3 linked regions of the Yarrowia lipolytica genome follow. The protein of the gene in region 3 interacts with the protein of the main gene of each other region in a pairwise test. Links are inferred from orthologs where the notes say so. Each region holds a gene or a part of one and is shown on either strand. Other genes may lie near its edges. The genes, in order: YALI1_C05423g, YALI1_A02974g and YALI1_B28744g.

Region 1 (3,034 bases), on a different chromosome or scaffold from region 3:
CCAAACACTCTTTAGTTGCTTGGTAAAGCTTTCAAATTGGGGATTCTCTTTCTCCAAGCGAAGTTCCGAGGAATTATCAATCAGCTTTTCTTTTTCGCATTTTCTGGACTCTCAAATACACTCCTTCGTATATCTATGCACAGTGACGTGACGGCGTGGGGGCCAAATCAAAAGAGTGTGCAGGCAGCAACAGACTAGACCATACAACACAATAACAAACAATGGTACAAGTAGACGCCATGACCATGTTCCTATGACAACAGTCAGTCAACTCCACCTACGAACGCGTTTCGTACAAGTACAGTACGAGTTCAAGTAGTCGCACAGCCCACGATTTACCTCAAGATTGGACCCACAAGAACGAGCCAAACTTAGGAAGCTCGGGAGGGTTCAGATCTCCATGTTCCGCACGTCTCGCTCATGCCTGATCGATGCAGGTCTGTAACCTCCCTCTGATTGAGAATGGAGTCCCAGATGGTTAATTAGCTCACTTTAAGAGCCTGGCAATGGTCTGTCAACAGACTAGGCAATAAATATATTCTCTATGACGTTACTTCGTGATTAAAAGATAGAATTGATGAGGTCTCCACCAAGGGTAGCTCCAGCACCAAAGATGGCTGCGTTTCCAAACTTTGAACCAATGCTCTTGAGATGGCCTCCGCCACCCTGATGCTGCTGGCCCTGCTCCACAACCACAGTCTGCGGAGGAGGGGGCTGGTAGTATTGCTGCTGCTGCTGGCCCTGGTAGCCTTGGGGAGGAGGAGGTTGGTACCCTCCCTGGTATCCCGGGGGAGGTGGGGCCTGGTAGCCATACTGCTCTGGGGGAGGGGGGTTGTACTGTGTGGGAGGAGGAGGGTTGTAATGGGCGGCGGGAGCGGCGTAGTCCGGCTGCTTGTAAGAAGGGTAGGCCGACTTCTCGGACTTCTCCTCGTTCACGGCCAAAGAGGACACCGTGGGAAGAGTGGTGGTGGAGCTTGCCGCAGCCACAGACGATACAGTGCTCTGGGATCGGCTCACGGGAGGAGGAGCCATGTAGGGAGTATCAGACAGTTCCTTGACGTAGTTGGCAGGGAAGATTCCCTCCTTGCCACTGGGGCCTCGGCCCTTCCACCAGTCGTTGTTCAGCTTCTCGATGATGTCAATCTGGTCGCCCTTGACAAGAGCCAGGTCGGTGGGGTCCTGTGCGACGTAGTCATAGAGAGCCTCCACCTTGCCACCTGAACCAGCAGAGGCAGGATGAACAGCAACGGGAGGGGAGGGGGCAGCAGGGGTGATTTGAACAGCTGCAACCCGCTCAGTCACCTCGGCAATGCCAACAACTTGAGAACCAGGCAAGTCCAGCTTCTGACCAGGTGTCAGCTTTCGAGGGATCTTGTTGCAAATATCGTCATAAAGAGCCTGGGAAATCACCTCGGACTCAAACAGAAACTCCAGCTCGTTGTGGAGCGAAGTCACACTTCGGTTGATAACTGCCGCCATCGTAAAAGTGATGTAAAAAAACGCTAGCGTGTGCTGTGTAGCGTGGAAAGGGTGGGAGTGCAAGAGTACAAGTGGCCGAGAGATGGGTTATTATATGTACACTGTAGCCTAATAATTTTAGCACAGCCACTCTGATGGTGTATAAAAATCTGCGTGAATTTCCATAACACGTGACCGGCAATAAAACCAAGAAACACAAACAGAGCAGCAAATATATAAATCGTGTTTTTGGCCATCCTCCAGACAGGCGAGGGTCCCTGACGTACCGGGCTTCTAGAACCTCGAGACCCAGAATTTCAAAATACATAGAGTTCAGTACACTTCTTAATCTTGCATAGCCCTACTCGTCTTTACGACCGAGCTCAATAAACTATCAAGCAAGGCATTGTACTTATTGGAGACTACAACTACAAGTACAGTAATACTTGTACAATAAATGTACATATAAATATAATAATAAAAGGAACAAGATTTTTTATACAAAGAATTCATTAACAATTGACAATTTTAAGAGGTAGAAACCAATAGCTAGCTAACTAGCTTAGAAAAGAACAACCAAAATAACCATGCCCATCATACCAGCAGAGACACCATAAGTCTTCGCAGAGTTGGCCTGGGGAGGCAGGGTCTCACCACCAGGCGACTGGGGAGGTGCTTCACCTTCAGAGCCGGAGCCAGAGCCGGAGCCCTCAGAGCCAGAGCCAGAGCCGGAGCCCTCAGAGCCAGAGCCAGAGCCGGAGCCCTCAGAACCTGAACCAGAGCCAGAGCCAGAGCCGGAGCCCTCAGAACCTGAACCAGAGCCAGAGCCAGAGCCGGAGCCCTCAGAACCTGAACCAGAGCCAGAGCCAGAGCCGGAGCCCTCAGAGCCAGAGCCAGAGCCAGAGCCGGAGCCGGAGCCCTCAGAACCTGAACCTGAACCTGAGCCAGAACCAGAGCCGGAGCCCTCAGAACCTGAACCAGAGCCAGAGCCAGAGCCGGAGCCCTCAGAACCTGAACCAGAGCCGGAGCCCTCAGAGCCTGAACTAGAGCCGGAGCCCTCAGAGCCTGAACCAGAGCCAGATCCGTTCGAACCACCATCAATAGCACCACCGCCACCAAGTGTAGAAGTAGACATGGTAGTGAGAGGCTGAGAGGCGCCTGACAAGTTGGTGGTAGTAGGAAGTGGGCTGATAGTGCCGGAAAGATCCTCAGAAGCCAAACCTGTGGCAGTTGCCGAGCCAGTAACATCAGGAACCAGGCCAGTAACAGTAGCGGTGCCAGTAGCAGTAGCGGATCCAGGAATGTCTTCAGAGGCAAGACCTCCACCACCTCCAGAAGAAGATGTGATCTGAGATTCAACGGAAACAGTACCAGTTGCAGATGTAGCAGTGGGGACCTCAAGGGTGGCAGAGTCCAGTTCTCCAGAGTTGATTCCAGAGCCTTCTGTCGAGATGGGGACAGTGGCAGTAGAACCATTGTCACCAGTGAATGTAGGGGTAGATCCAGACGTGATGCCCGACTGCTCACCAAATGTAGGAACAGCACCGGACGTGGAACCAGTGGCAGACTCCTGGCC
Region 2 (3,755 bases), on a different chromosome or scaffold from region 3:
CCCTATCTTCTCCCCTTTGAATATGGGCTCTAATCTCAACATTTAGTCATGATTTGTAAGAAGTAAGCCAGTATACACAACGAAGGTGGCCGTGTTTTGACCATTCATGTAATTATAGTCGAGTGAATGACATCATAGTGTCATAGAGCCATAGAAAAGTCAGCATCAGTTCGCCTTGTTCACAGATCCGAGAGTACCTTCTCAAGGAAGTCATCTCTGGCGGGGTAAGCTCCACAAATTCGTCTGTTTCGACCATTTGAGTGACACCTTATCGCTCGTACGGCACCGGTGCTTGTACAATTGCGCGTGTCGATGAGTCCGTCGGTGACAGTTGCACTCCAGTAGGTACGAAGCCAAGCACAGGATCAGATTGTTCTCACCTCGCCATCTTAATCTGTGATATGCGACCTTCCACCTGCCACCTACGGCTAGAACGACTTCCCCTTGGCTCCAGTGACTCGTTCTGATTTCAGAGCAGCTTGCAGTCGTGTTACGAGTATGTTAGCACAGGATCGTATGTACTGTATGTGATCGCCAATAATGTTAACTACTACCCAAGTAAAGTGGAGGAACGTGTCGGAGTTTAACAGAGAATTACTTGAGGATATTATGCTGTTGTTAAGAGTAGAGCCTTCGACCATTTTCAATTGATATGGTAGAGTAGGAGACATCACAAATCAAATACCCAAATGTCTGAATCAAATAACAGGGACGTCTGCATCAATCAGTCAACTTATACTACCACTTGCCAAATAAATATTGCCTGAAACAGACATGTTTTTTATTTATTATTCTAGGGACTTTCCAAGCCTAACCTGACATACCCACTCAATCAATGCACTTTTAGGGCACGGCTAACCTCTAGGCTAGCGGCTTGGCACCCCTGAGTTCCGAGCGAGTTACAATTCACGGGTCCCTTGCAGGCGCCACAAGGGACGCTGAAGGCACCAAAATCAAATTAATCGAAAAAACGACCCTTTTGGCCGTCGCTGGCGGTCTTTTCTCGCAGCTGGAGACCCCAGGTGGCGAATACAGGCAGTCTTAGTGTGGCGTTCAGCAACCGACGTCATGCGGTGTAAGGAGAAATGAGGGAGGGCCTCGCTAGTGCGATAGCGTGATTGGAGCAGCCATTTATATGAAACCGCTTATATAATTGATCTCCTGAGCGGGACACATGTCCTCGACACGGCTGTCAGCCACACACGTGCACATATATAGCTGTTTATTAGCCCTTGAGCCCCCAGATCACATGTCCAAACACGCCAAAAAAGTTAACTTTTGGATACACCCAGGCCGCAGGGTGGTGCATATAATTGTCAACCGGAGCAGGAGAAGGTGGTACCAAGCACTTAGATACACCTTCACCGAGACGGCTCGAGGACTGATATTCGACAAATTCACGGCACTGCATACACAAGCGTCCCCCACCCTCACGAATTTCCGGAGACTACAATATCACTCGCCTTGTTACTGCCGGTTGTGATACATCTGCAACATGTCACCAACGAAGAAAGCGACGAGGCCGACGAGTGGAGGCTCCAACGGGGCGGCTTCCAACGGCGACGTCACCGACGGAGACAGAGTGTTCAAATCTGGCTACGACCGACTAGCTAGTCTCGATCGGGAAGCCGCTCAGTCGGCAGAATACACTGAGGAGGGAATAAGCAACAACGAAACACACCGAACTCTGGGGATCCAGTCAGGACGCTTGTCGGTGGTCACCAAGGACCTGATGCCCTCTCCGCAAATGCCTAATGCCTCCGATCTGTCTCCCAAGACTTCTACACCAGCCCATCATTGGGGTACTCCCGGTACCCAGCTGGTTCCTAATGAGTTCAAGACGCCTGATCAGTTGACGCATTTTGTGGATCTCGAGTCCAACCAGCAAAACAACTCGGATCGAGACTCGCTCGCCTCGGGATCGTCCACATGGATGGGTGTTTTCTCTCGAATCGGACGAAAACTATCTACAGCATTTCCTGTGCGACGACCAGACCGCAACCCCGCACAGGAACGGGCAGTCGAAATCTACTACTCCGTCTTCAAAAACCTGCCAGAATTCGAGTCCCGACAAATTCTCGATACCTCCGAAGAAGATTACAACTCAGCGGTGCATTTCGGAGAAGTCATTGAGTCGGTGATCGAGGCCATTTCGCACGGAATCTTTCCCAGACTCATCGCACAGGGCTCCAGTGGCAGCTACTTTGCCTACAATGAACACCATGAAGTTGTGGGTGTATTTAAACCAAAGGACGAAGAGCCATATGGACCTCTGTCTCCGAAATGGACCAAATGGCTACACCGAAACTTGTTCCCATGCTTCTTTGGACGCTCCTGTCTCATTCCAAACACCGGATACATTTGTGAGGCCGCGGCATCGCTATTGGACCGCAGACTGCAGACGGGAATCGTCCCTCATACAGAGATTGTCTATCTCTCCTCCCCAACATTCTACTATCGATATTTTGAACGTCGACGGGCCAAAAATGACGCTCGTCTACTGCCACGAAAGCCTGGCTCATTCCAACTGTTTCTGCACAACTACGAGGAGGCCGATGTGTTTTTTAGAAAGCATCCCTGGCCCGACAAACGACGTCAGCAGTACGGAGCTGCATCGGAGTCGGACATTTGGACCCCTGCCGTTCAAAAACAGTTTCGTTTGGAGCTCGAGAAGCTCGTGATTCTCGACTACATTATGCGAAACACAGATCGAGGTCTCGACAATTGGATGATCAAGCTGGAGTGGGTGGATGCTTCGTCAGCCCATCCGCAATATCACTCGCAGGGCTCCCCTTCACGAGGTGCCACACCCCACTCTTCTCATTCTCCTATCAAGGTGCCTCGACTCAAGATAGGAGCCATTGATTCGGGTCTTTCGTGGCCCTGGAAGCACCCTGATGAATGGAGATCGTATCCGTTTGGCTGGCTCTTTCTTCCGCTAGAACTTATCGGTCAGCCATTCTCCAGAGAAACAAGAGAGCACTTCTTGCCGCTCTTGACATCTCCCCGATGGTGGGAACAGACCTACGTGGAGTTCCGAGACCTTTTCAGTGTCGACCCCGACTTCCGGGAGCGCATGTGGAAAAAACAGTGGGCTGTGATGAAAGGTCAGGCCTTCAACGTCGTTGAAACGCTCAAGTCTCATGACCAGGGCCCTCTAGAGCTTGCCCGGAGAGACAAGGTGCTGATTTGGGACGGAGAGATGGACATTCCCGTTCGAATTCCTATCGAAACACTCAACTCAGCTATTGGAACCCCTCTGCTGAACAGAGCTTCCACTCCATCGAACATGCATTCCCGGCAATCCAGTGTTGACGAGAACATGTTGTTGCCTGCTCTCAACTCGTTGTCTGTGTCGCCAAACAAAAATCAGAGCCTCAATAGCGACCAGGTTCCACTCCTATCCTCCTACGACAACGCTTCGTCTTCAGCAGGACCCTCTACTGCGCCAGCTACGGTTCCTAATCAGAAACTGCGGCCTTCCAAGGGCTCCTCGCTCAGTCTGGAGGCCAGGTATAGAGAGCTCGAGTGTTCTAGTCCCACCAAGAAGAACGCCGTTGCATTTTCCAAGCGCCACGGAAGACGTCAGAGTCTGTGGGACGAGCTCATCAGTGAGAATGCCACCAGCCGTCCGCTGAGAGTAGCTGATAACAACAACACAGACTCGCCTATCAATGACGTGGGATTTTCGCATGCCGAGTCTTCTTACCAAGCCACCAGAAAGGTGATTGTTGAGCGACTTCAGATTGCCACTA
Region 3 (3,356 bases):
CATGTACTCCTGAACCACCTCTCTGTTGTGCTGGACGTCCAGATTTCGACGCAGAGCGCTCCGCAATAGTTGCGCCACCGCGTCCCGGGCCGGATCAGGAGGCCCGTTGTTTTCGCTCATCTTCAGTGTTTGTCTTCTGTACCTTGGTTGGTGGCGTTGTGAGTAAGTGGATATGCGTGCCGTGTGTCGAGTGCTCTTTATATGTCCAGTCAGTCACCTCTGCCGTGTAATGGTGCAAAGTAGTGCTGACTCCTCAAGGCCAATTTTTTTTTCTTCAGACCTTGGAGTAAAGATGTACAAGCGCGGTAGTAGAGCAGGTATAATAACTGTGGAGCTTATAATTAACAATCTTGCTTTCATTAGTTCAATAGCAGTGACGTCAGACCGAAAGCATTCGGAAAATGAGAAGACAGGTCAGCCGCACGCTTTGTGATATGGAAATCAGGCCCAAATTTTTCGTCCATATTCCCCATGTCAAAATCACCATTCACCCATGTAATCCCGCTACTTGCACGTGCTGTACTTCTGCCACCCTCCACTCCATTATACAACCGACTCATAGAACAGTATGGAATGTTGGGTTTGGGATATCCCAGATTATGGTCCCGTGGTGTGGTCACGTGATGAAAGCTCAAGGTGGATGGGCCGATATGCAATGTCACACGTGACCCGGCTTATATCCCCCCCCCCCCCCCCCCCACCTCCACCCGGTTGTAGCCTGTACATGTTGTATTGATGCACTCTGAAAATCGCCGTTGGGAACAGCTTAACTCCGAGTCCATGGAGATACCACCACTGTGAGCCATTTAGGTGGCATCTGAATGTGTACATGAGAGAGGGGGCGGATAACGTAGCATATAAAACAGATTGTAGTTGAGGTTGAAAAAAACAGAAGATGGATTCACACTCACCGCAGCTTCAGTACCACTCTTATACGTTCAACTAAGAAATTACCGCACTTTTCCATGGTTGCTTACTAACACACGGGTCCTCCACGCATGCACTCCCACAGCACACTCTATCTCCATCAGCAACATCCACACACACCACCATGGGTCTTCTCAACTCGGCGGACAAGGAGAAAATCAAGCGAGTGGTGCCGAAAAACACCAACAAGGTGATTGACTGCACCATCGCACGTCTCTACATTGCCTACCCGGACCCTGATAACTGGCAGTACACCGGGCTGTCTGGAGCGCTAGCTCTGGTGGACGATCTTGTGGGCCACACTCTGTTTCTGAAGCTCATTGACATCCACGGGTCGCGAGGCGTGCTCTGGGACCAGGAGCTGTATGTTGGCGTCAACTACTTCCAGGACAGAACGTTTTTTCACTCGGTGGAGCTGGAGGACTGTTTTGCAGGCTTTCTGTTTGAAGACGAGTCCGAGGCCGCTCACCTGTTCAAGCGGATCCAAAACAGAGAAAAGTACGCCAGCAAGGATACGGTCAAAAACAAGAACGCCATTGCGCTGAAAAAGGCCGCTCCAGCAGAAAAGGCTGCCGTGGGACCCAGAGGAGAACCCCGTACTCGACTGGGATACTCGGGACCCGTCTACTACGACGACGAGCCGCCGGAAGAATGGCGAGCGCTGTACAGAGAGTTGGAGGAGCAGGGAATCACTCCGGAGATGATTGCCGATAACACCGAGTTCATCAAGGAACACATTCGACAGACGGGAGGTCCTCTGGTGGGTCTGGAACCTCCAATCCCTCGAAACAGAGGCCGGGGACGAAGCACGAGTAATGCCACTTCTTCTTCGGCTGATACCAATGCCCGAAAACCCCCACCGCCTCCTCCCCCAGCTGCTGCTGCTGAATCAACCCAAAACAACGACAGAAGAGCAGCTCCTCCTCCCCCGCCGGCCTCGGCTCCCCCTAGCTACTCTAGCACTCCAGAGCCCGACTTGCCGGCCACCCCTGCTGCTCCCTCCGACCCACCAGCTGCTGTAGCACCCCCCAGACGGTTCAATGTGCCGCCTCCCCCATCTTTCATGGGCAAAAACGCAGGTGCTCCGCCTCCTGCGGCAACTCCAGCCTCTCCAACAGCAGCAGCAGCCCCACCAGCGCTTCCAGGACGGTCGCTGCCGCCGTCGCTGCCCTCTCGTGGTTCGCCAGCGCCCCCTGCACTACCAGGACGATCGGTGCCTCCTCCTCCAGAACTTCCTGGACGAGCTGTGCCTGCCCCTCCCCCCTCTCTGCCGGCACGAGGAGGAACCCCGGCAGCAGGAGGACCCCCTCCCCCTCCTCCACCCAGAGACGGAGCCACTCCTCTAATCGAAACCTCCTTCCTCCTCCCTCCAGATCGGCCAATTCCCCCCCCCTGCTGCTTGCCCCAAACTGCATACACACCCCCTCCCCCTCCCTGCAGCAGCTCTTCTCCAGCGGCAGACTCAGAGCCTCATACACTCTTCCTCCTCCTCCTCCGTCCCCCGGCCTCAGTCGAGACCTGTTCCTGGAGTTCCTGGAGGTGTGTGCCCCTCCTCCTCCCCCCTCCGCCCCCCCGCCCTGAACTTGCTGCAGCTGGTGGACCTCCTCCACCCCCTCCGCCTTCTTCCTGTGGCTGCTCCCTTCTTTTGGAAGTTGCTGCTCCCCTCCTCCCCCCGGTCCTCCCCCAGCCATGTCTTGAGGTCCTCCTCCCCCTCCCCCCCTTCTGGAGACTTTGGAGTCACTCCTGGTCCTCCTCCTCCTCCTACCGGAGACGCTGGTCGAGACGCGCTGCTGTCGTCTATCACAGCTGCTGGTGGAATCGGCTCTCTTAAGAAGGTGGACAAGTCGCAACTTGATAGACCTTCGGTCATGCTGCAGGAGGCTCGTGGAGAGAGCCCTACCATTCCTTCGGCTGCCCCGGGAGCTCCTGGCGGTGGCAACTCGCTGGCAGACGCCCTGGCCTCGGCTCTTAATAAACGAAAGGGCCAGGTCAGTAAGTCTGACGACGAGTCCGACGGTGATGACTGGTAGTATAATGACTATGTAATTAACAGATGAAACGATGGGGCTACGAGCAAAGCGAGTATGTTGTCCATAGACATGGTGTATAATTGGTAGACGCGGTCACACCGTCTTCTGCTATCGTGGATCCAATGCTTCATAGCATCTATTGAACATCTACGATTGATAGTTAATAGTCTGATTCAGTTACCGTTTTGAAGCACGTCTTTTGTGTCACGTGACGGTGGTCGAGTCACGTGCTTTATTACAGTGAACACTACAAGTATTAATTTCTTGTTGCTTGTTTATGTTCTCTGACCGTGCAATTTGGATGTCCTTTGTCTTCACTTCAGACAATCCAATAAACAACAGTCACTCGCATTGTGGCTGGCGAATCTCCGGTTATTTCAGCCTCCGGGGATCTCGTAT

Evidence for each region.
Region 1: the proteins of YALI1_B28744g (region 3) and YALI1_C05423g interact in a two-hybrid assay, tested with the Saccharomyces cerevisiae proteins (4 studies listed by BioGRID). The link is inferred for Yarrowia lipolytica from reciprocal best matches to the Saccharomyces cerevisiae genes LAS17 and LSB1.
Region 2: the proteins of YALI1_B28744g (region 3) and YALI1_A02974g interact in a two-hybrid assay, tested with the Saccharomyces cerevisiae proteins (2 studies listed by BioGRID). The link is inferred for Yarrowia lipolytica from reciprocal best matches to the Saccharomyces cerevisiae genes LAS17 and LSB6.

The regions. Positions count from the first base shown.
Region 1 is NC_090772.1:540,910-543,943, forward strand, and holds YALI1_C05423g (uncharacterized protein), read right to left. Parts: upstream 1,480-3,034; coding exon 562-1,479; downstream 1-561. Other genes in the region: YALI1_C05494g (uncharacterized protein), read right to left, coding at 2,021-3,034. UniProt on the Saccharomyces cerevisiae protein: Involved in resistance to EDTA.
Region 2 is NC_090770.1:295,220-298,974, reverse strand, and holds the start of YALI1_A02974g (uncharacterized protein), read left to right. Parts: upstream 1-1,495; coding exon 1,496-3,755. Other genes in the region: YALI1_A02977g (uncharacterized protein), read right to left, coding at 954-1,144, 1,188-1,212. UniProt on the Saccharomyces cerevisiae protein: May play a role in endocytic and/or exocytic pathways.
Region 3 is NC_090771.1:2,873,406-2,876,761, forward strand, and holds YALI1_B28744g (uncharacterized protein), read left to right. Parts: upstream 1-1,051; coding exon 1,052-2,758; downstream 2,759-3,356. Other genes in the region: YALI1_B28735g (uncharacterized protein), read right to left, coding at 1-120; YALI1_B28766g (uncharacterized protein), read left to right, coding at 3,235-3,247, 3,300-3,356.